Linked DNA regions of Drosophila melanogaster. The protein of the gene in region 2 interacts with the protein of the main gene of each other region in a pairwise test. Each region holds a gene or a part of one and is shown on either strand. Other genes may lie near its edges.

Evidence for each region.
Region 1: the proteins of TwdlW (region 2) and CG9286 interact in a two-hybrid assay, tested with the Drosophila melanogaster proteins (one large-scale study listed by BioGRID).

The regions. Positions count from the first base shown.
Region 1 is NT_033777.3:13,773,132-13,790,756, forward strand, and holds CG9286 (uncharacterized protein), read left to right. Parts: upstream 1-7,832; 5' UTR 7,833-7,922; coding exon 7,923-8,045; intron 8,046-8,106; coding exon 8,107-8,233; intron 8,234-8,292; coding exon 8,293-8,936; 3' UTR 8,937-8,951; downstream 8,952-17,625. Other genes in the region: CG9297 (uncharacterized protein), read left to right, coding at 804-887, 1,181-1,606, 1,668-1,706, 1,961-2,038, 2,097-2,174, 2,251-2,328, 2,399-3,045, 3,104-3,425 and 3 more; CG42375 (uncharacterized protein), read left to right, coding at 6,576-6,656, 6,712-6,873; CG9288 (uncharacterized protein), read left to right, coding at 6,893-7,537; Dip-B (dipeptidase B), read left to right, coding at 9,697-9,710, 10,686-10,962, 11,030-11,128, 11,186-12,322.
Region 2 is NT_033777.3:17,129,043-17,144,571, reverse strand, and holds TwdlW (TweedleW), read left to right. Parts: upstream 1-2,167; 5' UTR 2,168-2,259; coding exon 2,260-2,274; intron 2,275-2,345; coding exon 2,346-3,257; 3' UTR 3,258-3,364; downstream 3,365-15,529. Other genes in the region: CG5265 (uncharacterized protein), read right to left, coding at 3,534-5,465; CG5255 (uncharacterized protein), read right to left, coding at 5,781-5,893, 5,953-6,661; CG5246 (uncharacterized protein), read right to left, coding at 7,549-8,367; CG31267 (uncharacterized protein), read right to left, coding at 9,359-9,986, 10,153-10,352; CG31266 (uncharacterized protein), read right to left, coding at 10,974-11,045, 11,111-11,887; CG4053 (uncharacterized protein), read left to right, coding at 12,416-13,140, 13,204-13,276; CG17475 (uncharacterized protein), read left to right, coding at 14,189-15,055; CG31265 (uncharacterized protein), read right to left, coding at 15,526-15,529.

The DNA.
Region 1 (17,625 bases), 3.4 Mb from region 2:
AATCGGTTGGCAGGCGAAATTTGTATAAATAATTCTATCAATGCGGTTAGCAATGAAAAATACGAAATTGCTCAAATAGCTTCCGCCCACATACGCCCAGAAATAAATCAAAAGAATTATCCGCCGACAAGCAAACTGCACACTGAAAACTGATAGGCAAACTCATTTAAATCGCAATTAATTGAGCTCAGGTTGTTGGCAGATATATGTACGAATATCCCTCTAATCTCTCGACGACATTTGTCCCAAGTGCCTGAAAATTCCAAAGTAATTAGCCAAGCGACCTTACCATACTTTCAGTCCACCAATCACTCAAAACGCGACCTTCCATTACCAAAAAGCAAATGCTGTGGAAAGAGAATAGAATGTTCCATTGCAAATGGTTCGCCCCCGCATCCGGATTTTTCGGAGCAGTAAGGTGGCCAAAAGAAACAAAAACTGAAGAAGTAAGGCCAAAGTGGGCGAGCAGCCAACTGAATGGTATAGAAATTTACTCATCCACAAACTGGCAAAATGTGTTTGAGTTTTCATCTTTTAAAAATAAAATTCATAAATCCGCCACATACATATATATATATATTCCGAAGTGTGTATGTTTGCTTTCGACGAGTACCATAAATAATGTCAAGTTTGAGCAGATAGAATGACCTCGTTGATGGCGGTGACATCAAACCGAGAAAGTGCGACCATTGTTCTAGGATGGGGCGGTTGGAAATAACTTGGACTTTCCGATATCTGGGCTGTATGTTTGGATATACTCGTATTACAAATTGACCTGTCATGTTCTCTTTAACGATTTTCAGTTGGGTTTGTCAATGCCGATGTCGGACCAAGCGAATCAGAATGTCGACCCTACATTGAAAAGGCTATTCATGAATTGAAAACAGGTAAGGGCTATCTTGAGTATCTGAAGAATTTCAATTGCGTTAAAACCATCTTATGAATTAATAATATAGTTATTAAATCTGCTCCTTAATTGAATGATTCATCCTAAAATTTCCATGTTTTAAAAAACTCAACCATCAACATTCATACACGTGTACGTGTTAATAAATTGTATTAATAGACCAATTAACATATAGCTACAAATCAACGTCATATCTTTTTAAAATATAATGAAAATCCTTTTAGCCATTTAATTTTTTTTTATTAATCTATCGGAGTACTCATACGATTTCAGATGGTGTCAGGGATGGATCTGGAGAACTGCAATCCGATCAGCCACGTGGGGACGACGACGATGACGACGATGATGGTGGGCATTCTGCGGTTGATGAGAAAGATACGATTGAAATTGAAACTGTCGAATTGGATTCCACAGAGGACGCGAAAAGTGCCAACGATTTGGATGGAGATGGAATACCCGATGACGAGGACGATGATATCGATGGGGACGGCATTCCGAACGAAAAGGACGATGATATCGATGGAGATGGCATACCGAACGACGAGGATGATGACATCGATGGCGATGGCATCCCGAATGAAGATGACGACGATATTGATGGGGATGGTGTGCCCAACTCCAAGGACGAGGACATCGATGGGGATGGTGTGCCCAACTCCAAGGACGAAGACATCGATGGCGATGGCAAGGCAAATCACGGTAAGAATCATGGTACTCCTGATCCACCTACAATGCTCTCATCTAAGATTTTATCTCACAGAGGATGATGATCTAGATGGTGATGGCACTCCAAATCATGGTAGGACCATAAATTATATTTAATATTTGCTGTTGTATATTTATATAGCTTCATTTATACGCTTTGTATATTTGGTTTTTAGGTTTATTTTTATCTGATATTACTTGCAGTTTAATTTCTAAACTATTCGCATTTATTATTTCAGATTGAAGCTATTTTGCGCTATAATTCGTTGTTTATTTCAACATTTTAGCTTACTTATGAACGAATTTTTATGTTTCTTCAGTCTCTCACTAGTTTTTTAAATATTTCAGAGGACGAAGATCTCGACGGGGACGGTGTGCCCAACGAGGAAGATGATGACCTCGATGGTGATGGCAAAATAAATCACGGTGGGTTAACAGACATATTTTTAAAGGCTAAATATTAATTAAAAATTTAAATGTACAGAGGATGAAGACCTCGATGGTGATGGAGTGAAAAATGACGAAGACGAGGATCTGGATGGAGATGGCAAAGTAAATCACGGTAAGAATAATTATAGCATAAAAAGTCTTGAATTATTATAAAACATTTTTTATTTGAACTTGTTTTTTATTTTCAGAGGACGAAGATCTTGATGGAGATGGCGTGAAGAATGAAAAGGACGACGATTTGGATGGCGATGGTACCAACAATTCTCGTATGTATATATTGACTTAGAATAGCTAAAAACTGTTTTAGTAATCTTAATGTAAACCTAACCATTTCAGAGGATGAAGACCTAGATGGTGATGGTGTGCCAAATGAAAAGGATGACGATCTGGATGGAGATGGCATCCTGAACGAGCACGACGGTGATGTGGATGGCGATGGAGTTCCCAATGAACACGATCACAAGGATAGCGGTGAGAATGCCGATGATGATGATGACGACGATGATGAGGATGACAAGGAGGCGGTCAAGAAGCGAAGCAAACGTGAAGTGGATGCTGCTCCTGTTCTGGACATTGAGGCTCCACCAAGTCCCGCCGAAGAATTTCCCGTAGAGGAAGAAATCGTCAAGGAGGCATCTGCCGAAGAGGAAGCCGAAGTTGAGGCTGTGAAAGAAGAGGAGCCCGAGCAGGAAGCTGTTCAGGAACCCGAACCGGAACCGGTAGTGGAACCAGAAGCGGAAGTGCAACCCGAACCAGTCCAGCAGGAAGAAGAGAAGGCCGAATCTGCGGAAGCGAAGGAGGAGGAAAAGCCAGCACCAGTTGAGGAGGCTGAGGCTGAGGAGGAATCTGTGCAGCCTGAAGCCGCTCCCAAAGAACCCGAAGCTGTCCAGGAGGAAGCACAGGAAGATGAACCACAAACCGATGGCGCACAAGATGCCGCTGATGATGATGATGACACCAAGCCAGAGGATGAGCTTCTTTGGGTAAATCTCTACAAAGATGTATATAGTATTTTAATAATAATTAATTTATAATTTTTAGGAAGGACACATTCCCGAGAACCGACGCAGTCGCCAGCACATCACCGAACTGCTCCAGTTGGATGAGGAGTTCAATGCCCGTGAGAAGGCTACCGACAACGTTGCTGAGATCATCCTGCGGGACATTAAGCGCATCTACGAGAATGCTGTCAAGCCCCTGGAGACCCTGTACAAATATCGCGATCTGAGCAACCGCCACTTCAGCGATCCCGAGATCTTCTCAAAGCCACTGATTCTATTCATGGGTCCTTGGTCCGGCGGCAAGTCGTCCATTCTTAACTATCTGACCGACAATGAGTACACGCCGAACTCTTTGAGAACTGGTAAGTACAAAAATGAATGGTAAATTTATGTAATTAAATTTATTTATGTATATATTACATCTAATTTCCTTATAATATACATATATTGCCGCTGAATTTGTATTTTACATTCTTTTTTTTAAATATTCTAAACAAATCCGTATAGAAATTCCATTTTCCATTTGGACGGTTGCAAATGATTTGTATACAATTTCCTATTAAACATTTGTTTATACATTTCTTTGACCCGCAACAGGTGCTGAACCCTCTCCGGCCTACTTCAACATTCTGATGTGGGGCAATGAGACGGAGGTTCTGGACGGCACTCAACTGGCGGCGGACTACACCTTTGCCGGCCTCCAGAAGTTCGGTCAGGGATTGGAGGAGCGCCTGCGTGGTCTGAAGATGAAGAGCAAGATCCTCGAAAAGGTAGGCCAAATGCAAACATATCTCGCTGGGCAGATCAGGGAGAGATGCTTATGGGCGCCGCTAAGCATTAACTTGTCGCCCAGGGCAGCAGCCCGTCGATTGGGAAACTGCAAACAGCTGGCCACCTGCCAAACGGAATTTATAGCTTTTAGCACACAAGCTGTGGGCATTAATTTTGTTATTAATAAATTAAATGCGGAACAGGGCAGAGAGTACACAGTACACAGATAGCAAAGCTAAAATGGCTGAGAATTACTATATTTAAGCGCTTGACGATGCGTTTTTCAGGTCAACATCGTCGAGATACCCGGCATTCTAGAGGTGCGCAAGCAAGTGTCCCGCGTCTTCCCCTTCAACGACGCCTGCCAGTGGTTCATCGATCGGGCGGACATCATCTTCTTGGTCTACGACCCGGCCAAGTTGGATGTGGGCCCCGAGACGGAGGCCATTCTCGACCAGCTGAAGGGGCGCGAGTACCAGACGCGCATCATCCTCAACAAGGCAGACACCGTCAAGCCCGAGGAGTTGTTGCGCGTCCAGGGCGCCCTCATCTGGAACATCTCGCCATTGATGTCCTCCGCCCAGCCGCCGCTGATGTACACCACCTCGCTGTGGACCCATCCCTACCAGGATGGTGCTCCCGCCCGCCTGCTGCTCGCCCAGGAGCGCGCCTTCTTGCGCGACCTGCGCACAGCCATCGACAAGCGCATCGAGCACAAGATCGCCAGCGCACGTCGTTTTGCGGTGAGTACTCGGGCGTATGCGTGATACGATTACGATTACTTTGTTGAGAGAAGGTGTAAATGGGCAATGTTATAAGAACCTTCAGTGAATATTTGAATATGTGATAGAAATGAGCATACATAATCAATTCAAAAACCATTTCCTATTATAGTTATTGTAATGAATTGATAATAAATTAAATCCATCCATTTGCATTCACAGGTGCGTGTGCGCAACCACGCCAAGATGGTGGACTGCTACCTGAACACGTTCAACAACCACAAGACGCTGTTTGGCAACAAGAAGCGCATCGCCGATGACATCATCGATCATCCGCAGAACTACCACATCTACGAGGGACTCTCCACACTGACGAACATCTCGCGCTACGATCTTCCGGATCCGGAAGTCTACCGCGACTTCTTCCGCCTGAATCCGCTGTACGAGTTCAAGAAGCTGAGGGACACCTGCACCTACTTCCGCGGCTGTCCGATCACCAAACTGGACCTGGCCATTGCCTACGAACTGCCCGAATTGGCCGGCAAGTACAAGAAGATGTCCGAGGCTGCGTTGGCCGCCATTGAGGCCCAACAGCAGGATGGAACCATAGGCCAGGCCGAGCCTAAGAGGACGAGTTGAGGTGTTGGCTCCTCCCAGAGGAGAAAACCTGCCATTTAGTTTGTTTTAGTGAGAGATAGAGAGAGAATGTGACATCGGCACCGGAAACCGTCTATAGGGAATTAATATCGAGAAGGGAGAAATGTTATAGAACCCCCAGAAATCGGTAGAGAACAACAGCGCAAGACAAAAAACAAGGACATTGTTTGAGGAGAGAGAGGTATAGCTTAGCTAAAGAGAGAGAAAGCCGGATAAAGTGTGTGAGAGAGAGGGCGAAATGAAAGAGAGGGAGGCAAGAGCGTTTTGAAAAAACAAGCAACTTTTGCTTTGGAGAACTTTCAATTTCAACCGCCTTGCAGGAAATATTTATTTTCATTTAATTTACTACAACTTAACCGAACTGAGAGCTTTATGAGAGGGAAACTAATACAATATCGAGAGCAAAACACACACACAATAAATAATTTCATATTTATCCAAGTAGAGAGGGAACATAGAGTCTTTTCTAGGCGAGTAGATCAGCACTTATCCCAAATCTGAGAGCAATAACTAATAGACGAACTATCGACGACCTCTAACCCACAAAGCATAACCCTAAAATCCGACCCCTCATTGGCTAATAGCAGCGTATAATTCCCATGTTCCCGGTTTTTTTTCATCTTTTCTTTCCTCAAATAGTAAAGGACAACAGCGCAGAGTTTTGATTTTGAGATCTGAGATTTGAGTTTTGAGCAAATGGAATTTCGTAAAGTTATAATTTCTTTGGTTTCTTGTTTCTGTCCCTGGCGAATTTTCGTAGCTTATAAGACTTTTTGATAAAAGCAAACAGTGAAGACGATAATAATGAATTTAACCTATTTAAATAGAACAAATAATCTTGTTGACGAGCGAGATCAGCTCCTATACATAAAATACAAATAATCAATTTGACACACTGAAAGCCTATGTAAAAAATGAACTGTGAGAGCGGGTGAAATACACAAATAAATAAAAACAACAGAAAACCCCAAGCAATCGATTGTTTTATTATTCAAAATCAGTTGATTTTTAAACGATTTGTATTATTGTTTCGGAAAACAAATTACAAATGAGTAAAGGGCAATTTAGTTTGTTTTATAATAGTTTTTATGTAACAATCATCCGTTATCATTTAGTAATCATCTTCAGAGCAAGAGAGTTAATCAATAAAATTTTTCAAAGTGTATTTTTACATTCATTACATTTTACATTCGGTATTTTTGATAGTATTTTTGGCTCAAATCTGGCATCTGTTATGCTGGCAGGGTGACCATGATGATACCACTCTGTTAAAACATATGTTCAAATTACCTAACAAAATTTGACAACACACGCGAATCAGGAAAGTGGAAAGGCAATAAACCCGGCCGGAATCAGGAGAAAATGCATACGGATCTTTCCTCACATCTGCACACGCCCGCTTGCAACAAGTTGATCGAGGAACTCCAGGCCTGCCACGAAAATGTAAGTAACCGGGATTTTATTTTATAACCGGGATTTATGCGAATTCTGCTTGCAGAACGCCTTCGCAAAATTTGTGGGCGTGTGCAACTCCATTGACGACAAGGTGGTCAAGTGCCTAAAAGGCGAGAGAATCGCCCGATCCGCCGCTAATCGCGCCAAAGCCCGTGAACGTCAGGCGAAGTACAAGGAAAAGTTGCTCCAGCAGGAAAGTAACTAAAGGAAAGAAATCAACCAGGATGTCAGTACAAGCAGATGATCCACTGGAGCCATTCTACTTCGAGCACGAGGAGCAGGAGATCTGCGGGAAGCTCGTAGCTCCCATTACAGATAGCTTCCAGGAGGATTACCCCAGTGTTGTAGATCGTTTTTTCACCAGATATTACTACTTCAAGGGAGATGTTCCCTACCAAGTGCTCTACCACTCCAATCGCATTTGTCTGATTTGCCTGGCTCCCGAGCACCCTGCTCTAGCTCAAGGCATCTCATCGGTCAACTTTGATATAGGGAACGTAGATCGCAGCCAGAATGTGGTCAAGGGAAAGGGTAAAAAGGGCGGAATGATCCTACAGGCGGAGTCCACCTTGGCACTGCTCACCACAGCAAATGGAGGGACTTACAAGGTGCCCAGCTGCATTCGGGGCAAGCTGGTAGAGGTGAACACCGCCATTGTGGAGGAGCCAAAGCTTCTGGAGCAACTCCCCGAGGGAGCCGGCTACTTCGCCATTCTTCTGCCCAAAATCGAAAACTGCGATGCAATCAAGGCGAGTCTTTTAACCCAGGAGCAGTATGAGGAGCGCCTAAAATCGAAAAACGAAGGTCTACCTCAAATTGAGTCCACCGGGGACCACGCTCAAAACAAAAATAAGGAGATTCAGGCGTGATTTTGACCCTTGTTTTGTTGTGCTTCTTCTATAAGGCCTTTGTATTTTAAATTAATGATTCATACATATATTATATTGCTCAAAGTCAATGAGGACTTAAATAATAATAATTTTGACAGTAAACCACAAATAATATTTTCTGAAACTTGTGAATTTTGTTAATACTTATGGTCAAATGTAATGTCGGGTCTACTATTTAATTTCCAGTAAATTTTATTTCTTAACAGCCTGTTAACTCCGGTGCATTTACAGAACTCTGCCCACTTAACAGCACGCTCCGTAATAGTTGGCAACTCAATGCAACACGTGTGGACGATAAACAGCTGTTCGGGCGGCAATTTAGTGGAAGCGAAACAAAACCAAATTCGTTAACTAAATCTTAAAAATGTCAGCTAATAAGCAAAAGAAATTGAGTACCATGGAGGTGGACCCCAACGAGGATGTCTCCAGTTCCAGCGAGGATGATGACGACGACGAACCGCATCCAGATGCCTATAAGGGAAACGAGGTAATCTAAGTGCCTCCAAAATATGAAAAGCAAATGTGTTTCAAAATTAATATCCGGCTAGGAGGTGCAAATCGACTTTGAGGGACGAGCTCCAGTAGATCCCGATGCCCAGGGAATCTCTCAACTCCTGCAGCGACTATTCCTTCGTGCCCACATCAACTGCAACCAAATGGCGGATTTGATCATAGGTGAGCACTCCAAGGTACTATCTTGATCTATCTATCAGCACAACTTTTTTTGTTTCCAGCCCAAAATTTTATAGGCAGTGTGATCTGCCAGTGCGACGACGAGGGCACCGAAAGCGAAACGGAGGACGACAACATGGTCGAGGATGGCACCATCTTTGGAATCACCTCTGTGCTGAACCTGACCGCCAAAAAGGATCAGCCCAGCATCGCCCAGTTAAGGACCTACATACTGGATCGCGCCAAGACGCACGCTTCTCCGGAGGTTCAGCAGCAGTTGAAGGAGATTCTAGACAGCGAGCAGCGCCATGTGGGATTCTTGATCAACGAGCGCTTTATCAATATCCCTGCCCAGATCTCCGTGCCACTGCTGCAGAGTTTGCAGCAAGAAATCGAAGCCGCCAAGGCCAAGAAAATGAAATACGACTTTGGCACTCTGCTGCTGCTGGTTAAGTTCTACAGGAAAGAGTCGAAGAAGGGCAAACCGGGCGAGGACGTGTACACCAACGCTGAGGATGAGTTGCTTTCGGATCGGGCTAAGTTCTCCTTCGAGTATTCCATGGCCTCTGAAACCGATTCGGGCATGTCTGGCGATTGGCTGGAAGGCGATGCCGTGATGACGCCCTACAGGAAACTCCTGGTCCTGGAGGCCAAAAAACTTCCGCAGCTTATTGACGATATACAACGCTTTATTAATGGCGAATAAATATTTTTTACATTTAAAACTGCTGTGTTATTTGGCCTTAATATAACACCCCGACAAATATCTAATTAAGAAGTAATAATGTCCGGTCTCTAACGACCGATAAGCTTCTATTTCTTTGTAGTCCCATACAAAGAGTATCAAAAATTCGAACCGAAAGCTTTCCACATCCTTTATGACAATTGGCAACGCGGGCAAACCACAAACAGCTGTCACTTGGCCGGCATTTGAAAGCTTCGCACATGCCGGCTGGTCTACTGTGAAAAAAAAACCTGGTTGCCATTCCTTTGTTTTTTGCCACTGGTTAGTTTTGGCCCAGAAACTGCATCCACCGTGGACGTGACTGGCAAGAGGAACCCACAATAACAATTCCGAAGACCGAGCGACGTGAGTAGACTTTGCCTTTATTGTTTACAAGTTATATCCGAGTTCTAGAATTACGTACATAGCGAGCATACTGGCGATTATTCATCGCTCGTGCGATTTGTTTTCATTCGAAAACGCAAGTAGCAATTAAAAAAAAAAAACCTAAAGCCCGGCTCGCTAGTAAAATGTATAAAAAGCTTGGCCACCCAGCCAGAACATTGCAAATCGTCGCGGAGAGCTATCACAATCGCTCCTTATCGCCAGCTTTCCGTTCCAGATCCCGCTCCCAAGTTTCCAGTTTCCAGCTGCAGCGCTTTGTTCCCATCAGGGAGGTTCAGTGACGCCCCACTTGCCGATCAACCAAGTCGCGTGAGCTGCCTGCGAAAAAGTACTCATCATGGGTATCGAAAAGTGAGTATTTATTACCAACAGTTATTAGAGGGTGTGTTTTAAGTTAGCGCGGATCAGTTATCTAGCCACCGCTTAGCGACCGATTGGAAAAGCTCTCAAAGATTCGCCATCTTTTACAGTGAGGGTTAGTCGCTTAGCATCCATCAATTGCTATCTTATTTACCTTTCCCATAATTCCAAAACGAAATTAGAATGTTTTTAGTACTGCATATCTCAGCGTTTATCAGTTTTAATTAGTTGCCGGCAAGGAATAGATGTCATGAAAATTCCAAACTTTATCTTTTCCCAAAATAAAAACAATGTTTGGCGAAATACTGTATAAAAGTTAAAGGGGGGAGGTCACTTAATTTTATCATTATTACTTAGATAACGAGTTCTTGCTACTTCTGGAAACAGATATATATAGATCAACTTTTATTGTTTGATATGGGGCACTTCAAAAGATAACACAATTAAATGGTCAGCGACATAGGATTATTCTCCAAAATATTATAGACCCAGTTACCTAAGGATTGGTATTTAGTAGAAACACTTGAATAAGATTACAAATATTCTAAATAAGTACTTTAACACCATTTGTGCTAATACTTGGTACACTTGTTTCTAAATTGGAAATCGGTTTGTGATTATGGTCATTTCGAAAGCTTATCGCGATTCTTTATAGCACTTCGAGTTAAGATAAGCCCAGCGCCAGGAATGAGGGTAAACGAAAGGGGAACACACTGAAACATGGCCATGGTTGCTCCTAATACAGTGGGGACATTTTCTTTTGAAATAATAAATTGAAATACAAAGGCAACAGGCTGTTATGCAATATGAACGACTGCATCAGTTAATAAAGCAAATGTGACGTGATAAAATTCAATTCAATTAAACGCTATTGCACATTTAGTTGACACCCAGAAATGTTTCTTAATGAATACCAATAACGATTCCGTTGCGCACTTTAACTCTACTCTACGTGTGCCCCTCCAGAATTCTACCATGCACCCTCCGGCTGAACAAGCTGATGAGTCTGGCCGGCAACGACTGCCTGTGCATCATCGATCGCAATGCGGTTCCCAATGAACTGAAGGCCACCTTCGAGGAGCACCGCAAATTCGACAAGTCCTTCGACAGCAGCATATCCTGCTTTAAGGTGCCCAACGTGGATCAACCTGTGGTCTATGCCCCCGTCTCCGAGCTCACCGACTACGACGATGTGAGGAGCTACCAGGAGGCGGCCAAGCGGTCCATGGAGAAGGTTCTCAAGGTGGGTTTTTTTTTTCTATACATATTGTGTGAATTATGAAAGAAAATGTATATGTATTCTTTGCCAGGCTGGATTCCACACGCCGTTGCTGTTTGTGCCCAAGGTTAAGCGCTTCCCCGAGGTCGAACTCTGCACCGTTCTGGGAGCTCTGGAGCAGCTTTATGTGGTAATATGGATTATGTTTACTTTTATTTCAATCAATGTGCTAAAACACGTTTTTTAGCCCATTCAATTGCGCGAGGCAGGAACTTTGAAGGACCCCCGTGTGACCACGCTCAGTGTCCAGATCGATGATCCAAGGGCCGAAGCTATTTTCCAGGAAGCTCTCATTCTGGAGGCCGGTCGCTTTGTGGCCCGCGACATCGGAGTTGGGGACCCGGAGCGCATGACGCCCATCCAGGTGGAGAAGTACATCAAGCCGTTGTTCGACAAGCTCAACGTGAATGTGATCAGTGACACCCAGGTGTTGCAGAAGGAGTATCCCCTGTTTGCCGCCGTAAACCGGGCTGCTGATGCAGTGGAGCGTCATCGTGGTCGCATCATTTTCCTGGAGTACAAGCCTCCAAAGCCGGCGAGAAAAACTCTGATGCTGGTCGGCAAGGGTGTTACCTATGACACCGGTGGTGCTGACATCAAGGCCGGTGGTGTGATGGCCGGTATGTCGCGCGACAAGTGTGGAGCGGCTGCTGTCGCTGGATTCATGCAGGTGGTCAGTCAACTGCAACCGGATGATATCCATGTTGTGGCTGCCCTGTGCATGGTGCGCAATTCCGTGGGCGAGGAGTGCTACGTGGCCGATGAGGTTATCACCTCGCGAGCTGGTCTTCATGTGAGGATTGGAAATACTGATGCCGAGGGTCGCATGTGCATGACCGATGCCCTGTGCCGCATGAAGGAGTTGGTCGTGGAGCAGAATCTCCCGGATCCGCATCTTTTCACCATTGCCACCTTGACTGGTCACGCCTTCATCTCGGCAGGTGAGGGTCAGTCGATTGCCATCGATAACAGCGTGGCCCATCGGGAGGATCACGCCAGAAGACTGCAGGCTGCTGGACAGGCCTTCGGAGAGCCCTTCGAAGTGTCCATTCTCCGTCCCAGTGACTTCTCTTTTAACGCTGGAAAGGTGATTGGCGAGGATTTGGTGCAGGCCAATAATGCCCCGTCGGTGAGGACTCCTCGCGGTCACCAGGTGCCCGCCGCCTTTATGATTAAGGCTTCTGGACTGGACAAACACGGGTTGGATTCAATGCTGCCCATTAAGTACACCCATATTGATATCGCCGGCAGTGCCGGTGAGCACCCAGCGATGCCCACAGCTGCCCCTCTTGTTTCCCTGGTGAAGACCCATCTGCAGAAGTAAATCATGTCCACCTAATATTCAGGAGGATGTGTACACGATCACCACAAACAGTACTTATACACCCACGTGCTTAGCTAACCAACAATATTATCCTACTAACTGCATCACTGTTTTTTAATAAAGGCAAAACCGAGTTCAGATTGTATTCATAAATGTATGTCACTAATTTGGTAATCGTTTACAAATAAATGTGAAAATGATTTGTTTTTTTCCTTAAGCTTACAAAGCAAATATCTCATTATATTCATCAACATGGAAATATAAACATTATATCATCCCATTATAGAGAATAACCACCCTACATATATTTGTTAAGTATACAAGAAAGCCGCGTGGGTATTCGGTCTTTTTTATTTCTTTTTTATTATTACTGCATTTCCCAGCTGCATTGTTTGCATAATTGGCGGGTGCCCTGCATTTCGAGCTCTTGTTGGCCATCTACGGTATGGCTCGTACTCCTGCTCTTCCCCTTTCGCAGCCTTTTCTCTTCAGCTTTGCAGCGCCTTCTTTTTTTGTAGCTTGGCCCACAGCCTAGAACCCGTTAGTCGCTTCTTGGCCATGCTCTTCGCTTTGGGCCCCGTTCCCGGGAGCTTGGCCCAGCAACTTGGCGTGGATTGGCTTGGTTGGGGGATGGGGATGTGGATGGGGCCCGCTTGTCAGCTGTCGCATGTGTCTTGGTACCGTTATTGCCTGGCTTTGGAAACTCGGTCAAGAGTGTCTCATTCATGCTGTGATTGCATAATATACCGTTGGCTCCCGTTGGCCTTCTTCTGGCTTCTGACTGCGGCCTCTTCCCGTTCTTGGCCGTTCTCCCGTACCAATACCAACTTGGTTCCAACCTCTTTCTCCATCTGCGATGGGTGCGCTTCTGGGTAATTTATTGACAGTCACACTGGCCACTTTTGGTCATCTGGCCAAGTCGGAACACTTGGACTCTGACCGGGCTAACGGTACTTATTATTGATGAACGCAAAAGTCTTTTTCGTTGACTTGTCTCCCATTTACAATCCGTTAGTGTGAATTTATTGCCAAGGCGGCACGAACCAAGAAGAAGGCCTCAGCAGCAACAGAAGTGGGAGAAAAGAGGGAAGATCTCTGGTCTTGGGAGGCTTTCTGGCTTCTTGACCACTTAACGGACCATCAGTTGACCTGATTATGGCAGGACTGGTTCCTGGACGCTTCCTGGCCACTATCCGCCAAATCTGGTTCATGCGGCAGATGATTAATCGATTTTATTGGCATCCATTTTTATGGGCTTGTATTGAGATTGCGGAAAACCGTATGGCGTATATTTGTGGTTAAAGAAATCGTCAAAAATCTTACACGTAAAATTATAGCGATCTTAACGTAGTTTAATTTAAATGATTTTGTTGGAATATGTGAGGTAGCATTGAATGTTGGTTCAAAGCAGCTGACATGACGCCTGGCCCCCCAGTAAGATATCAAAAACAACAGACCAAGGAGCAACAACAGCAATGAGGAACAACAATCCGGTATGGACAATCACCAAAACACCTTGTCAATTGGGCGCTTGTCTTTTGGAAGCAGACGAACTGGCTCCAAGTGAGTGCTGCAGTTGCTCCCCGATCCATAAAGTCGCGAAAACGGCAAATGAAGAAAACATACCATTGGGGACCTGGGACTCAAGACGTCGGCGGTGGCGGCGACGGCATTAATAATAGCAAACAACAGACAAGCAACACCAAATGAGGGGGGCTGTGTTGCTGCTGCTGCTGCTGCTGCTGCTTGTTGCAACTTGCAACTCTTGCACCGGCAGCAGCAGCGTCAGCAGCAACAGCAACCACTTGGAGCAGCAAACGACAGAAATGATCTTAAATGAATGCGGAAGTTTTTCTTGGGGTTTCGTAACCAGCTACAGCAGCAGCAGCAACTACAGCAACTGCCGCAGCAGCAGCAGCAACACCAAAGAGGTCGCAATTCCAGTGGCAGCAATGTTGCTACATTTATGTACATGTGTTTGTCGGCCAGTCGATGCCGTGAGCCCATAATCATAGATGCTGCCGGCTAGGTCGAAAGCAGCAGCCCAGTCCATGGACATATTAAAATTAATCCAATGATTGCAGCGGCAGCCGCTTGAAAATTGTTAGCCAATTTGGTAGCCCCTTTGGCAGGCTGTTCGTCGTAGCCAGTTGGCCTCACTTCAATGAGCAGGGAGCGTGTGAATCGGAAGCTGAGGCACCCAGCTGCCAATAGTCATTTGATCCTGGCCCAAAAGCTCGGCCAGTTTCCCATGTGCCCAACCAGTTGGAAGATGATGCAGCAGTTAAAGCAGCAACAAGAGCAACAGGAGCAGCAGCAGCAGCATCAACAGCAGCAGCTGCTCAAATCATCGAGTTCTCGAACGTACCAAGTTCAAGGCTGCCAGGATCCATATTGAATGTCCTCCCCCGCCTGCAGTTGTTCATTCATGAACGAGAACCCACGAATCCCTATGCGTGGGTGGGCCAAAACAGATCCTGCCTGAGAACAGACAAATTTCTGCATAAACTCATAAATATCAAGTTGATCTAAACGGGATACGGGATCCCAGAGGCGCCGGCGCCCTGAACTTGAAAATCCAACAAGGCCGACCAGTCACGTACCAAGCAACTTGACAACTCATAAATAAACGCTAAATTATGAACTCCAGTCGAATTTGGAAAAGGAATTGAAATGTTTTTGCCACACCACACAGATTTTCCTCTGTCAGCAGCGTTTCAGGAAAACCAAACAATCGGCAAACCCACAGCAGGCTGGGCTGGTATGCACGGAAAAGAAATGGGTAATTTCATAATATAATAAATGTACTTAAAAGGGAGTAGAATGTTTTTAAAAATGTAAAAAATAATATATGCTTATATAATATATTATATATATATATTATAATATATCTTTTTAAAAGAGATTTCAATAATGACAAAATAAATTACCACCCTATAATATGATATTTAGCTTGCACTTATATAATTTCCAAAATCCTTACCTAAGCATTTATGGCCAAAGTGTTGAATGAGTTTAGAATATTTCTCTGTGTGCAGAGAAGTCGGCTCATAATCCATAATATTGTGTCATGTTCATGATCAACGCGGCCTCAGCCTTGGCGAGGAAAATGTATGGCTGGCCCACACCTTGATGGCAAAATTATTCGGAAAACTCCTAGCCGAGCGAATGAAAGTAAAGGAAAGGCCCAAAAACCACAGCCAAAAATTGAAAACTGAAAACTAAAAACCCAAACCCAAAAGACTGAAAACCGACAATTCGACCCGCTCGTCGGCTAATGAAGTGGTAAAAAGGGGCTTGGAAAACTGCATGCCAATGCATTTGGTATTGGTGTTGCATTCGCTGTTTGCCACCAACGCCGCTTGGCTCGGTGTTGCACTGGCGTTGCTAGCTTGCCTCCTCGCAGTTGGCTTGCCATTTTTATGGCCTCTTTGGGTAAAATGTTAACAACTGAGTTTGCCGAGGAGGGGGTAAAATTATGAATTTTTACTTTCACCGCATGTGGCAATTTCAGGTTTGCCGGCAGGCTTGAACTTGAGGCAAACACCAAGGGAAGGGGCAGGGGCAAAGGCGGCAACAATTGTCAAGGCTGCCAAAGGTCACAAGACCCGCAATTTGAGCGAAAGGTGTGGTCGGGCCGATAAGCGAGTTTAAACACTACAAGATACTAGATACCCTATCTATATGAAGATGGGTAATATAGATTAGAAAAATAATACTCTTGAAGAGAGATTTTATACAAAATTTTAAATTTCATGAGAGTGGATTTGAATTGGGTTTACACAACGGTAAATACAACTTTAATTATTCACTTAAATTAATGGCTAAACAAATTATAGCAAACGTATATGTATGATCAGCAAAGATTTATAAATGCAACATAATTAATGTTGAAAGCTTAGCAAATCAGTAATGTTGTAAGAAGGTAATTCATACGAAAATCATTTTTAGACTGAAAAAACAATTTCGAAATGCAAACAAACCTATATATGTTAATATCTACAATCTTAATATTTTCCTGAAGAGGGTCTTAGTTAAGATAAAAAATCTCTCCTCTCATTTCTCCCAGTGCTTTTCACACAGATGCATTTGAACCAGTCTCACACACTTCCAGCCAGATCATAATTGATTGCAGCAGCAAATATTTTTATGGTCAGGGCCGAAATCACTTTTGGCCAAGCGAGAGCGAAGCTGGTCAGCCAATTTGCTTTTAATCTAGCCTGATGAAGATGTCCGCGCCGATGGGATTAGCAGGCCAAAGAAGATGTGGCTCGGGAATCTGAACAGTCATACAGCGTTAGCGTTGTTGCAGCAGCATTTCCGCATTTTGGCCAACAGAGAGCGAGCGAAAGAAGAAGAACGTGCTCTTAAGGCCCACAATGCTGCTCTTAAGCCCCAACCGATTTCGGAGGTTCGCTTCAAACTGGCTCACTCGGCTGCTTGGCCGGGCCCAAAAGGTTTGAGCCAAGTTCGGCTCGGGCCCATCATCGGTTGGTTGGATCTTCGGCTCCATGGAGGCAACAATACGTCACTAGGGTGAACGTACTCGCGGATGTTAGTGGGTCACTATTTGTACGGTCAACGAACCTTTGGCCGCTTGTAAATACAACAAAAGAAAAAGCCCGGCCAGCAACTTGCTTTCTTTCTTAACTTTTTTCTCACACACCAACATCCAGCCACAGCGATCCAGAGATGACTCTCGTCTCTCGTCGTCTTGACTGACTTGACTGGTTGACTTGCAGTCGTAATTTACTTGGGCTATAGGTTGATCGTCAACAGCCCCCTAGCCCCCTTTCCTCCTGCTGCAGTCCCAACCCCCTGCTCAGTTGCATCCTGATGCTGCTGTGGCTGCTGCTGCTGCCGAAGCTGCTGGCCGTATTTGTTGCCATCTTGGTTGCATTGGCCAAGATGAGGCTGCTGCTGCTGCAGCTCCAGGCAGCTGCATTGCTTGGTGTTCTTATTATGCCCCAAACAGGTCCATCCATGGGAGGCTCTTTTCTTGGGCTCAGGCTTCAGCTTCAGCTTTGGCTTTGGCTTTGGTTTGGCTTTGCTTGGCTCGGCTTGGTTTGGCTTGGTTTTCACATGATTATCATGATCATCATTACCATCCGCCAGCCGCATTAATATCGTCATCTTCGGGCCAACTGTGCGACAGGGAGGGCAGCATCAGCCAAAACGAGACAGAGCGATTCGAAGAGCTACATACGTTCACATGCAAGTTTCGCCGGCTGGCTCTGGCATGACTTGTGGTGTTTGACTTGTGTGTAAGTCAGTCCATAGAAATGCATTTCCGCATATTTTAC
Region 2 (15,529 bases):
GTCAGCTTAAGCGTAGAAAAAACAAAACATGATTCGATACACATGCTTATTGAAAAAAAAAAAAACATTTTATTTTCTTTGGTTTTGTGGTCATCCGAAAATAGTTGTGAGCTCGAGGTGTCCCATAATTAATTTTTAACCATTTTTAGGCCAATAATTAAAAATGCATTTATTACGACCGGATGGATGGTAGGCATCGATCGCAGGGGCATTTATCGCCCAATCGTTTCGATGTGATGGATTTGGGATACGGATTCGCAGGTGGATGTAGTTTGGGTTCGGATTCGGTTGCTAATGCTATGCATAGGAATGGACAAAGGTAGCCTATGTCAAAATCTCTCATGGTGTGAATTAATAAATTAAAATAAAATAGTTTTGTTACGCAAATCATAATTTGTGTACCGTCAACATTCACTTTTATGCTTTGACTAATCTGCGCACCGAGTGTTTTGCATTCAATAGATTTTGGCAACTTATTCATTTTGCATAAAATATGCAAAGTGCGGCAATAGTTGGCACCCATTAATCATGGTCGCATTTTATTTCCATTTAAAATTGTAATTTTCTCTTGTTGCTACTTTTGAACTAATGCATTTAGATCTATTAATTAATGACAAAGTAATTTTGGTTTCCCATTACAAACAGAAAACAACTTATCGTATATTTCTTTGACAGATCTTTGCATCTTTAATGGCCCAAAAAGGGAACATAGTTTCGGTTCCATTTCACTGTTTTTCATGGCTCACGAAATTGGCGTGAGAAAGTTGAAAACCATTTTTTTTTTTTTTTGGCATCGACCAGAAAACATGTGGGCTAACTCATTATCTGGTGGCCAAGTTGCCCTTGGCTGGTTTATTTTGATTTGTGGGCAGAATTTCACCCGGCTAATGAGATGCACCCTGTCGGATGCACAAGATTTTGAAATATATCTCAGGTGGCAAAGTGGCAAGTGTGTAAGTCCAAATTGGAAAGGAAGCAGCAAAGCTTGCTATCTCCGCTTCGATATTACACCATTTGCACATTCACTCCATTAGTATGGAGACCTGCCAATTAGCCCTATAAGGTCTATATCTGCTTGTATTCCGTATGCATCTGCTTGTTATGACAACTAATTTCCGCTGGAAGCTGGCATATCCATTTGATACGCTGTGCTTTCGATTTGATCGGGGGTTATTTACCTTCACTTTTTTAGTTTGAAATCCAATTCAAATTCAATACTATCATTTTGTCTCAATTTGGCACATTTAAAGCTGACAATATATCGCCCAACACTTACGCCCCATCGAATGGAGACAAAAACCTAGACCTTGGGCCAGACCAAAACTGATGCGAAATACTGAAGTCCCCGGCATATACAATTTTCAATTTCCATTTGATAGCTCAGGTTTCGAACAATAAAACAAAATAGAGACAATGGTCCCGTAGACAAAAGTGCATTTTAAGTCGGTCGAGTAACCTCGTCCGCCTATCTTCGTCATCAATATTTACATATTACTCTGGGACATTCAACTGATCTGCAAAAACTACGAAGCTAAACAAAACTTTTGTATTAATTTAAACGACGATTTGATTGTCCACTTGGCAGCCATGGATATGCTTGGGTATTTTAATTATATTTACAATTAAATGATTAAGTAGTTTCTCAATAAATGTTTTTACTGCCTGTATGAAAAAATCTAAATATAAATCTATAATCAAATTCAATGAATTAATTGCAATATTGAGATTGAAGTTAGTATAGTTACTAGGGATCTGATGAATGAATAGTTATTTGAATTTTGTTTATATTCTGAAATCGTATTAGATACTTGCTTGGAGTGAACGCACACTTAATATATATTATATTTATAAGGCAAATGTTCAAAATGATATAGTTACAGCTCGACTAACTTGTTTACAACAAATGCAGATTTTTTTTTGTCGTATCTGTATCACCCATTGTTGGGGCTTCCTCTCGCTCGACTTTTGTGGAACCCCATGTAAAGTCGATACAAAAGCCCACTTGCCACCCAGCCAAATGAATCCGAACAACCTCTTCGCCACGCATAACAAATGTTTTATGACCCCTCGACTGTTGCAACTGTGTTGGCTGCTGTTTCACGATTTGTTTCCGATTATAAACAAGTTGGGCCCGTGGATTGGTATAAAAGGCCAGGTGCCCGGTTGACCCATCATCACAGCACTAAGAAACTCGGACAGCGAGGGAGCATCCGGCTTAAGACAGCTAACCAGCAGAGAGACACCCACCCAAGCGGCAGCATGAAGATATTTGTGGTGCGTTGGAACTTGGACTACCTCTATGCCAATTGGATTACAAGGGATTATAATGATTGCTTCTCTTTCAGACGGTTCTGATGGGCGCCATGTGCCTGAGCCTCAGCCAGGCTGACATCAGCTTGACCCAGGCGGGTTACAACTACCGCATCCAACAGCAGCAGCAGCAACAGCAACCGCCCATTGTGGCCCACCTGTTGAACCAGCAACTGCAGCAGCAGCAGCAGCTCCAGCCCCAGCAATCCTCGCACCCGGTGCTTCCACCTCTCCCACTGCCCTACCTCCCGCCCGCTGGCCAGTTCCATTCTGCCCAGCCTGCAGTTCGTCCCACAGCCGGATCGTTTCCCATGCCCGCCGGCTTCCCCGTCAATTTCCAGACCGCTCCCATCCAGCAGCAGCGACGCGCTCGTCCGCGTGTCAGGATTCCCAAGCGTCCCATTGTGACCAAAAACTTTTTCATCCACTCGGCGCCCGAGGAGTCTGAGGATGAGGTCCAGGACGAGCTGAACCAGTTGGCCCAGCAGCCCCGTAACCACTACAATGTGCTGTTCGTCAAGACGCCGGCTCAGACCAATCGCGCGGCGGCTCTTAACTTGGCCAAGACCCTTAAGCAGGAGAAGACCGTGGTCTATGTGCTGGCCAAGAAGACGACCGCCTCCGATCTGCAGGATGCCATTGCCGAGGCGCCACAGCACATCAATAAGCCGGAGGTGTTCTTCATCAAGTACCGCACTCCAGAGGAAGCTCTGAATGCCCAGCGGCAGATTCAGTCACAGTACGATACTTTGGGAGGAAGTTCGACCATCACCGACGAGGGTGTGGCCCCCATCACCTCGGTGGTGGGATCCCTGGATCCTCCAGAGGAGGAGGAGGAGGAACAGCAACAGCAGCAACATTCAGAGGGACAATTTGCGGAGAACGGTGCCGGAAACTCTGGCGTCGGTCCCATCGGCAATCATTATTTGCCCGCGAACCAGTTCTAAGTATTCTTCATTGCTCGTCACATCCAGATCTAGTTAGCTGTCATCAACACCACTTAGGTTTAAGTGCTTGCCAATGTTACCCAAATCCGTATTAAAATATAATTGTTAAAAAAAAAACCATTGAATTTTAACTAGATGACGATTTTAAGAAGTGATTAATAGTACTTTAATAAGTCCCACTAAATGGGAATGAATTTAGCTTTCCAAACTGAACGAACGTATTATTGGAATAAGAGGAATTTTTTTGGATCCAAAGTATGTTCTAGGAAAACACATTCAATACTTGCACTTAAGCTCTGGCGGCTTGTCTTTTGAAGCTGGACATGTTTCAAGTACATCCTTCATTTCAGCAAAGGACTGCGCAAGCGCCTTGGCGATCTTTTGGTGATCAGTTGCCTGACAATGTCGCCATGCGGATATGGCCAAAATGATGTCATGTTCACGGGGATTGTAGCAACAGGCATATCCATCTTCTACAGAAGGTCCATATCCCATGAAGGCATCATATTTGGTGGCCACCTGCGAAGTGGACATTCGAAAGTGCGTGGACTTTACATATCCTGGCGAAGAGAAGAACTCCGGAACAGGTAGGCAGTTCTCCACCGCCATTAGTTTAAGTCCAAAGAGGTGACGATCGACACCCTTTCCCAGAAGCGCCAGCTTCGCATACATCTGATGGCACATCACTGCCTCGCGAATCTTACTAGCCCGCTCCTGAGCTGATGCACTCACATCATCCATGGCGTGGCAAAAAGCCAGGGATTCATTGGAGCACGAACGGATGGTTTCGGTTCGGCCGCCATCGAAGATGCGCAAATGCGCCGATTCATATTGAGCAGCTGGCTCATAGTGCAATTTAAAGAATGCCAACTGCAATGCCATCTGAACAAAGCTATCTGGACCAAGTCGCTGTTTCTTGATGAAATCCTTGCCGTAGCAATCGAACTTAAGAACCTTCATTTGCAGGTCCTGGACAAGTTTGTCCACGTTTTTTTGCGCGATTATCAACCATTGCTCCACGCATTTGCTTACATCACAGAACTTTATTTTCTTCGCTGGAATAAAGTTTTCCGATCCGCATTCCCCATAACTAGGGTCATCCTTCATCTTCTTCACTACATAGTCCATCATCATTGCGATCGGTTGGCCCTCGGCTGGTGAGTGCTCATAGGTGAATCCAACGTGTCCATTTGGGTTTACCACCAATTGAATTGTCTTATCCATCCAGCGGTTGGCACTGTTGCACTTGCTGCCCTTTCCATGGATCAGCGTAAGGATCAATTCTTCGGCATCTCGACCTTCTTTTGGACTGGTACACTCGTCGAGGGACACTGTGAACATAGCATTCTGAATGGTTTTCAGGGCAACTCTATTACGGGGCGTATTTGACAAGTGTTCGTATGCCTCGGCCCAGTTGTCCCGCGAATCGGTGGTCAAGATTCCATAAGGAACTCCCGGTTCCTTTTCCTTTGCCATTATTTCCTCCAGTTGAACAGCCAGACATGGTGCAATTATAAGCTTTCCTTCCTTGTCGTATATTTTCAGTTGATAAAAGTGATTCCGGTAGATAACCACCACATAATCAGAGCACGGATTGTAGACGATATCGTCGGTAAACCTTCTCGGTATCCGGCATGTGCCGAAAACCTTTCCAAACTGACTGTTGTCCAGCTCGTTCTTGCCCATTTTCACAATCGGAATCTTTTTGGCGTGCACCAAGTCATTGAACTCACCCAAACCGAAGATAACCCTAGACGTGTAGTCCACAAATTCGTGGACACTTTCAAATTTCTGTTTGGGAAAGGTCATGCCGGGACTGGAGAAGCAAGTCACTGGCGACCGAAACTGTAAGTAGGCAACCTTCAGCCAGCGATGGGCTAACCAGTTCTTCTCCTGTTCACCAGTTTCTTCGAGGAGCTTTTGTAGCTTAGCGCCCTCCTTCCTCTGGAATTCGTTAGTAATCTTCTCTTGCTTTTTGAACTCCTCGGGTGTCAGCAATGGTTGTACGGTAATCATGAAGCGGTTGAGGATTTCTTCAAGAGGTAAGACATGATACTTTAGAAGGTTTGGCTGATCGGATTTAGGCTTATCCTTGGCAGTGCTATAGCTGGCAATTGGCATTTTTTTGCCGAACGTATATCGAGTCTGTTGCAGAGCCGATATCCTTGCGAAATTCCAAAGGACCTTTCCATTGTCACGGAACTTCATGTCGGCCTTGGCGGTTCTCAAGAATTACCCTAAAAAGTGCAATGCGCACTTTACTTGTGTTCCAAATATATGTATAATTTTTACGAATTTTTACAAAAATAGCCACATTGTTACAGTAAATTTCCAGTTTGCATTGATCAGTTACATTAGTTAAAATAATTTAATACAAACTATACATTTTAATGTAATCAGCACTATACGTTCTTCTAAAAATGTGTAAAAATTATCGTTAGATATGCTTCATTTTATAGCTTTCATTTATATTTTCAGAGTTTGAAAGATTTTTATAATGTTATTATAATGTCTATCTTGTCACTAATCCTGGAGAGCAATCATTTCCTCCTCGATATCCTCAGAGCTGTCCGTTTTGGATAGACTTAGGTGAGTGCGTATAAAGTCGTGATAATATGAAATTGAAGCGTGAGCATCTGTAGAATATAGTAAATGAGCTTTAATATGTATTTAACGCATATTAAATTATTATTACCTGGATATCCTTTAGCACATGGCAGTCCCCAGTTGACCAGAGCCACCAGCTTGCCATTGTGCACCAGAGGACCACCGGAATCTCCATGACACGCTCCGCGTCCCTTGTCATTGAAGGTGCAAACGTGGCCAATGTCCACCCGAGTGCTATTGTCGTGGGCAGCTCGACACTGCTCGAAGGGCACATAGTTGACCTCCAGACTCTGCAGACGGGCGGGAACATCTCCGCCCAAGGAGAGGGTTCCCCAACCGGTTAAAAGGAGTCGGGATCCTGGAACCAAGGCCTCGTGATCCAGTTCCACCGGTTGAGTGGCATTATCAAACACAATCGATTCATTCAGATGCAGTAAAGCTATATCGTTGCGATACTTGCGTGGTGCATAGTTACTATGCTCCACAATCCTGTCGGGATAGTAATACTTGGATCCATTTTGATGCAGATCCTGTGTGCCTGTTAGGACCCGAAATGCCGTCGCCTGTCTGCCTCTTGTACAGTGAGCCGCCGTTATAATCCACCGTTCATCGATGATAGCACCGCCACAGGAATGAGCTCCACTGCCGATTCCTTGAAGGGATATCTGATAAGGTGCCAGACCTGCGGCAGCCTCCTCCCCGCCCACAATGCGATTCTTGGTATACTGCGGCGGATATAGGATCTGACTTGCGGCACTCGAAGTGAACAGAACAAGTGGTAACAAAATGAGCAACATAACGACTCCTTGTCTTTTGAATTACTGAATATCGTAACACCTCTGTAAACGTATCTTATAGGTAAATTGCGATTTACAATTACGAGTTCAGTCACGTTTCGCAGCCAATATCTGGTTGAAAAAGTCCAGCTGAGTGGAGAACCCTTCATTCTAGGCAACCAACCACCACTCAGCACAAATAAGGTTGTTCTGATAACTACGATTCACTCTAAATTTACATAACAGGAACTTGAAACAAGGCGATAATTAAACTGTTTATTTAACTACATTAAAAGCCTATCCAATAAACAAATATATGTACTATCTAGGTCACAACTAAGTGACATTATCCCTCCACAAAATTTTTGGTGTTTTGACATATGAGAAAACATTAAAGAAATTCTTTAAAAATTTGAATCGACTTATAATCAAAGTAGTCTTTCAATCAGTTCTATTTAATTATCTTATAATTTGAGAACCTGCTGGAAAACTACTTAGGTATTGTTTATTTCCATAGTCAATCATACTCGAGTCTAATCTCTACATTAAGTAATGCCACAGGTGATAGTCAATACTTTCTGATATCCCACTTCTTTCTAACTGGCGCTTGTTTGTTTGTTGACTCAGTTCTCAGAACTGAATATAATGATGGATCATACGAATGACTGGGCTTTGGAGAAGTGCTAAAATTGAACACCCGCCTTAAAGAACATGACATACGAAAAAGTTTTTATTTAAACTGAAGCGCAATTGTTCATTTATTCGTTCATAAATATTTTATGATATCTTTGATATCTAAGTAATAAAATTTACAGTCTAATTTGATCAATTTGCAGAAGCCATTAGATGGCAGCTGCTATTTTTGTTCGGTTTTGGCTTTTGTACCCCCACGGGTGACTTTTGGACCTTTAGCACGCGGTACCAGCGTCTGTCATCATCTGTTCGATCCAATCGTGGTAGTAGGCGACCGAACCGAACACATCCGGATAGCCAATGGCACAGGCCTCGCCCCAGTTGACCACGCCGACGAGGGTTTGGTTGGCATCAACCAAAGGACCGCCGGAGTCTCCATGGCAAGATCCCTCGCCCTCCTGGGTGAAGGTGCACACGTGTCCTTCGCTCAGCCAGTTGGCGTTTCGCACTCGAGACTGGCAGTTGTCGTGATCGATGTAGTTCAGATCGATTTTCTGCAGCTGGGTGGAGTACCTTCCCCAGGTCTTGGTGCTGCCCCATCCCGTCAGCGTTAGCTTATCTCCCACCTTCGGCAGTGATCCCTTGCTGGCCAGTTTAATAGGTTGAGTCAGGTCGTCGTAAACAATGGGCTTAGCCGTGTGGATCAACGCTATGTCATTGTGATAGGCTGGCTTGTCGTGACTGCAATGGATCTTCGATCCATCTACCAGATACTCCGCTCCTGGTCTCGTATAGTCCACTGTGCCGGTGACAATCTTCAGATACTGAATGGGCCACTCCATGCAATGGGCGGCGGTGAGGATCCATTGTGGCGCGATGATACTGCCACCGCAAACATGCTCGCCAAAGGTATTCATGATGGACACCTGGTAGGGAGCAAATCCAGTGGGGGAATCGACACCTCCAATCACACGGGTCTCGGGCTTCACATGGCCCAAATGATGATTTAACTGGTGACGACGATGAATCTTAACGCTTTTCGCCGAACATTGAGACAGGATCACCAAAACACTGATCAGTACTAGACACTTCATTTTGGCTCAAATATCTTGAAATATTTGTTTCAATTAATTGTAATAATTGTAATTTGTAGTGTTGTGTTGTGTTCAACTTCCGTAAGCGGAATGCCCACTTTTTGGCACCAAAATCGCTTTTATAGCGCTGTGCAAAATTTCCTTATCTCTCGAAGAGTTTCTTTTAAATATTTTTTGCGATAAGCGTCTCAGTTCGGGGGAAGCTTCGATAATGACAATTTCCATAGCCCGTATATAGTAACCTGATAGGGGGAATTCTATAGCCATTTGGACTGAGAGTGATAGACAACTAGCACACGACCGTAATAATATTACTCATACGCAACGGGGGCGGACTTTGTGCTAACTCGAGTTGTGCTAGGCAGATCTTCAGACGTCGTCGGTTGATAGGGTCGTAATCGGATGGAAGTTTACTTGAAATTCACCTGGAATAATAGCGAAATGATTGAAGGCCCATTGAAGATACTGAAGTCGGCATACCCTTAGGGTAGGCAAGTTAAAGGAATAGATAGGACAATCTTCAACAAATATTAAAGGATTTATAAAAATAAATTAGATAACTTCGATATGGAAACCTACTTACTTATTACTTATTTTGTTTTTTATCAAACACTAAAAAAGTATATATTGTATAGACATAGTTCTGTGTGTCATGGTTTGGTAGTGTATTATATTGTTTCTGAAAAACCAGTTCATTTTTATGGCTTCAATGAAATTTTGACGTTTTACTTATCACCCGCAATTACAACAATTGGCAGACGTCTGGACGAGGGATTATCAAGATTTCAAGTTAATCAATTGTTTCACATACTGGATTTTGGACTTTGACATAATTTAGGAGACAATGTATCTTTTGGAACATCCGTAATAAACTAGGTAATATAAAAATGTTCGTCTGGCGATATTGAAAATGCGTACCACAATTTTTACAGTATTTTATTGAATAAAGTTATTTTTCCAGGATAAAAGTAATTGATACGAATTTTTGCACTTAGGAAATAGCACATCCGTTAATCGTTGATATAATCCAGCTGTAGTAAAAGCTAATGCGGGCAAAAACATCGGGAAATCCATAGCCGCACGGAACGCCCCAGTTACCAACGCCCACCAAGCGACCACGACTGTCAACGATGGGTCCTCCGGTATCTCCATGACATGCTCCGGCTCCCACCTTTCCCACGGCACAAAGGTGACCCACATCCAGATCTGGAGTACCGCCGTACGTGGCATTGCACTTTTCCGGCGCGACATAGGTTACATCCAACTGCTGCAGCTGCCATGAGAAATCTCCTCCGATCTCCGTGCTGCCGTATCCGTACATGGTTAGCGTTTCACCATCGGTCAAATCCTCCAACGGAGCGATTGTGATATTCTGAGTGACATCATCGTAATCGAATAGTGCATGCGTCTTGATCAGGGCAATGTCATTATGGTACATGGGGCTGTCGAAGTTGCAGTGCATGACGATATCCTCCACGGAGTATATCCAGCCCTCCGATCCCCAGTGATTATAGGTGGTGGTCACCACCTGCACGTTGTTCTTTCGCAATCCAGCCAGGCAACTAGCCGCGGTGATGACCCACTGATCGTGGATAATGGAGCCGGCACAAAAGTGGTTACTTAAAAGAGTTGCATAATTCACTATTTAGACTTCAAAATAAAATGTTACTTAAGACACTAAAAAAATATATTGCTTAAAAAAATAGTATAATTTCTGTGGTAATACGTTAGTAATTGTTACCAATAGGGAAACTAGGATAACATAAATAAGGATAAGTTAATTACCCATAGGCGTTTTGGAGCGAGACTAGATAGGGTGCCGCCAGGACATCGGATTCTTCTCCTCCGACGATTCGGGAGCTAAATTTATTCGCGGTTTCGGATTTTTCTGAAGTGAAGGCCCGACGGCGTAAACTTGCCTCCGAAAAGGATAACGCCAACAGGACGAGGACGAGTGTAGAAACCGCTCCGGTTTGGTAAGACATCTTGGACGAACAGCTGAAGTTGGACTAATTGCAAAGCAGTGCAGCTAAAAAGAAACTAAGCTCCAATAAACGATATTCAGTATACGATATTAGATATTTGGCGTGATATTAATGAGCCGCCATAAAGGTATTGCAATCTCAATCATGGTCAGCCTGAACAAAACCCACAAATTCTCCCCTCGTAAAAATCCCATATCTTTTTATAAATCAGCAAATCAACACAAATCATGTTGCCAGTACATACACTTGGGTAAAAAATGAAAAATGTTCAGTTACATAAGGTAACAAATTGTTAGATAAGGTTATTTTAATTAAAATCTATGATAAAGGCTATATATGCTTAATTCAGAACGTTAACCAAAAAAAATATTTTTTTAAACACCAACCCTGAAACAAATAATTTTAAGCAAGTAGAACTGAGCTTAAATATCCCATACTTAAAAATACTTTGCCCAGAAATAACTGAGATTCGAAAACGTATTAGTGATAAGAAAAAATATACATTCTTTAATGATTAAATCATATTTAATAGTGCTTTTAAAATATATTTGTCATATTTAAAATCTCTGGCCGCATGATGAGCCGCATTTCTCTCAGTGCACAGATACGAGGTACCCATGACTAGGCGATCGTACATCCATTCATGGTGGTGCGGATCCAATCGTGGTAGAAGGCAGTACGCGCATACACATCCTAGTGGATAATAATAGGTGGCAATAAATACATATATTACTCTTCGATATAGGCGGAATACTTACCGGATAGCCACGTCCGCATGGCACACCCCAATTACCGATGCCTACCAAGCGCTGCTGCTCATCGATAAGCGGTCCGCCAGTGTCGCCATGGCAGGCGCCCTGGCCCGCGTCCATTTGGACACACACATGACCCAGGTCCACATCATCTTGGTTCTGCAACTTCTCCCGGCATGCGTCCACCGGCAGATATGTGCCGGATGCCTCCTGCAGATAGCGACCATAGGTGCCCATGGCCTCGGAGCTGCCCCAACCGGCAAAGGTCAACTTATCCCCCTCTTCCAATTCATCGATATCCGCCAAGGTTATATTCTTTGTCACATCGTTGAACTCGATTTTGGACGACAACTGCAGCAGGGCTATGTCATTGTGATACAGCGGCTTGTCGAAGTTGCAGTGCACATGGATCTGGCTCACAGTGTAGTACGGAGCATACAGATCCCACCAGTCCACAGTTCCAGTCACAACCAGCAGATTTAATGGCCTCAATCCCGCCACGCAACTGGCCGCTGTGAGCACCCAAGTTTCGTCGAGTATGATGGCTCCGCACAAGTGATACGAGTATGCATTTTGGATACTTGCTATCCAGGGCCAGTTGCCCTCGGCGGCGGTGGTGCCACCGATCACACGACCTTGGGGCACAGCTTCGGTGGAGCGATGCCTCTCGATATTGGCCAAACCCGGAAGTGGTTCTCCTCGCATCCTCATGGCTTCCGTTGGCCCCTGAAGAGCCAGCAGAGTCAGACCCAGCAGCACCGTAAGATTCCACCTATTTGTCATGGTTGGTATATGCGCGGTACAATCGAAACTAAAACCCCTCAGCCGGGCCACCTTAAAATTACACTTCATAGGACGGATCTTATCGCCCAGTTTGGTCGAATTTTGGATAATAGGCAGTTTATGGGTCTGGACACGGCGATAAGTGGCATATGCGGCATTGCGGCCGTGGTCATTATGAGCTGACTCGCTAGTTCGACCGGTGCATTTATAGAGTGCCGAGATTTGCCGTGTCACACAAGTCCATGGGTTTATGAGCAACCAGGTCCAATTGGACGTTCCGCCTTTACCGATTGGGTTTTATCCTTGCAGCCGTAAAGATACCTGACTGCGAATGGCCATAAAGATTGCTGGCCAGTGGTCAGTTGGCCGCGAAAAAACCCAAGTGAGCCAACTCCCGATGTGCGATAAAATAGGTTTATATGGAATGCATATAAAAACGCTCAGTTGGGTCATACAATTTTCCATTGCTGGTCATTAATTCGCGCTGTCCGGCATTGTCCCTCGTCTCGGAAATATTTGTTTTGGATGATGGCTGTCCGTTTGTCTCTGATTTGGCTGCTTCTGCTGGGCACTTCCATTGACGTCACGCGCGGAAAGCGTTTGGACAATCGTAAACTTTTGGACAATCGCATTGTGGGTGGCCAGGAGGCGGAGGACGGAGTGGCACCTTATCAGGTGTCCATTCAGACCATCTGGAAAACCCACATCTGCAGCGGAGTCATTCTCAACGAACAGTGGATCCTCACCGCGGGTCATTGTGCACTGGACTTTAGCATCGAGGATCTAAGGATTATAGTGGGCACGAATGATCGTCTGGAGCCAGGACAGACCTTATTTCCGGACGAGGCCCTAGTCCATTGCTTGTACGACATACCCTATGTCTACAATAATGACATAGCGTTGATCCATGTCAACGAGTCGATTATATTCAATGATCGCACCCAGATCGTTGAGTTGAGCCGAGAGCAACCTCCGGCGGGTTCCACGGTCACTCTGACGGGATGGGGTGCTCCGGAAAGTAGCTATCCCACAGTGCAATATCTGCAGACCCTCAACCTGACCATCATCGCACACGAGGAGTGCAGAGAGAGATGGGACTTTCACGATGGCATCGACATCGGTCATATTTGCACCTTTACGCGAGAGGGCGAGGGTGCCTGCTCCGGAGACTCCGGTGGTCCACTGATGTGGGAGGGCAAACTGGTGGGCCTGGTCAACTGGGGCAGAGCCTGCGGCGTCGGCATGCCAGACATGTAAGATGGTGTATATCCACTCCCCTTTAAAGGTGGGAATTAATCAATTGTCAATCCTTTTAGGTATGCCAACACGGTTTACTATCAGGATTGGATCCGCAGGACTCATTCAGGATGCAAGAATCGTGTTAACTAAAAGAGATACAAGGAGAGAGCGATTAACTGGCATCATTATGATGTATTTTTGTATAAATATGTGAAATAAATGTATTGACTAAAGCAACGCTGATAACTTTTACCCTTACTCATGTGGTCATTGCCTGCTTTTAGATGGGCAATCACAATTTTATGGAACTGTTTGCTAACATGTTATGGCATAAGATAATGTCATGCTAGGGCTGAAAAATTGTTTGTTATATGTGAAATTATTTGGCCTAATCTAATGTAATAAATAGTGATAATTACTTTTAATGAATTCAAATGGATCATCTCGTAAACTAAGAATACTGTTGTTGTTCAATTCGTTGCATTTCCGTTATCAAAATGTATAGTCCAGATTATAGATCGGCTTTTATTTAGACTTTTAGGTATGCATTAAAAAAAATTAGTAAATTTTGAAGATGGTAAAGAGAAATTTCCTGATTGCAAACAACCGCTGGCGGCATCTCCAAAAATGAGATGATTTTAAAAGATTCAAGATTTTTTGAAACCTTATTAAAAATATATTCAATTAGAATATGATATTGGAAAATACGACTTGCTTGATCAAATCAATATATCATTTAGATATTTGACGTGGATGGTAATAGATGCAACCCTCGGTTTTACAAAGTCCAGTGGTAATATCCAGCAAGTGACCATTCTAGATATTATTCTTATCCAATGACGGCGCTGACATTGATTGCCCTGTCACAAAATGATAATCAGTGTGCGTCTATATCTTTTTACGATATCAGGCTTTATGACATAGATACTTGGGGCGGAAACATTGATTTCGATTTACGATAAAACCCCAAGACTTACGATAAAACGTTCGAGTATAAAAGAAAAATCACTGCCCATATGCAGGCTTAATTGTCGCATTGAAAGTCAAGCACCCACCACCATTATGGTTCGACTGGGTGTTGTGCAGATCCTGGTGATCCTGCTAGCTTGTACTTGCTATAAGCCCATTAGCGCCGTGCGTTTGGCGCAGCTTAGTGAGGATCAGCTGGAGTGGATCTCGAAGGCGGAAGGAGTCAACTTCCAGAATCGCGTAATCAATGGCGAAGATGTGCAGTTGGGCGAGGCCAAGTACCAGATATCGTTGCAGGGAATGTACGGAGGTCACATATGTGGCGGATGCATCATCGACGAACGCCATGTCCTGACGGCAGCCCACTGCGTATATGGCTATAACCCCACCTATCTGCGAGTGATCACAGGAACTGTGGAGTACGAAAAGCCGGATGCCGTGTATTTCGTGGAGGAGCATTGGATTCACTGCAACTACAACAGTCCCGACTACCACAATGATATTGCCTTGATTCGGCTAAACGATACGATCAAGTTCAATGAGTACACTCAACCGGCTGAGCTGCCCACAGCTCCGGTGGCAAATGGGACGCAGTTGCTCCTCACGGGCTGGGGCTCAACGGAACTTTGGGGCGATACGCCCGATATACTGCAAAAGGCTTATCTCACGCATGTCGTGTACTCGACTTGCCAGGAGATAATGAACAACGATCCGTCGAACGGTCCATGTCATATCTGCACACTGACGACTGGTGGACAAGGAGCCTGCCATGGCGATTCCGGCGGTCCGCTGACGCACAACGGAGTACTCTACGGTCTGGTCAATTGGGGTTATCCCTGTGCACTTGGAGTTCCCGATAGTCACGCCAACGTGTACTATTATCTGGAATGGATCAGAAGCATGATCTCGGGACCATGTAGCAACTGTCACTGCTATGCCAGTAACTATCCCAGCCTGTGATCCAAGGGGACGACGATATGCTGAGCAAGATATACAATTTTGATTAGGTAAGAATGTACGGTGACTAACTTGTGGAAATAAAATCAATGGCAGATTAACAATAAGAAAATCGTGTTAGTATTCCTTCTCAGATAGTCAGGCAATATAGATTTCTATATCTACTTTTGAGTGTTTACCCATATTTTATGGTTTATTATTAATTTCTATTTCATAACTATAATTTCATATATGTAAGTAAATTTGACCTTTAATTTATGAGTCTATATTTTCTTGTTAATTGTGTTTTCAAATTAAGCCTGGATAAGCGAAGGCGTTCAAAAAAAAAGTGGAGTTATTTTTAGATATGGTTTTTTTAATTCCACTTGATAATAAACCACATTTCAAAAGGCCACTTTTATAATAGTCTTAATTTTTCTTTATTTTCCTCTGAAATCTTTCTAACAATTTACTAATTCAATTTGGTAAGTAAATTAG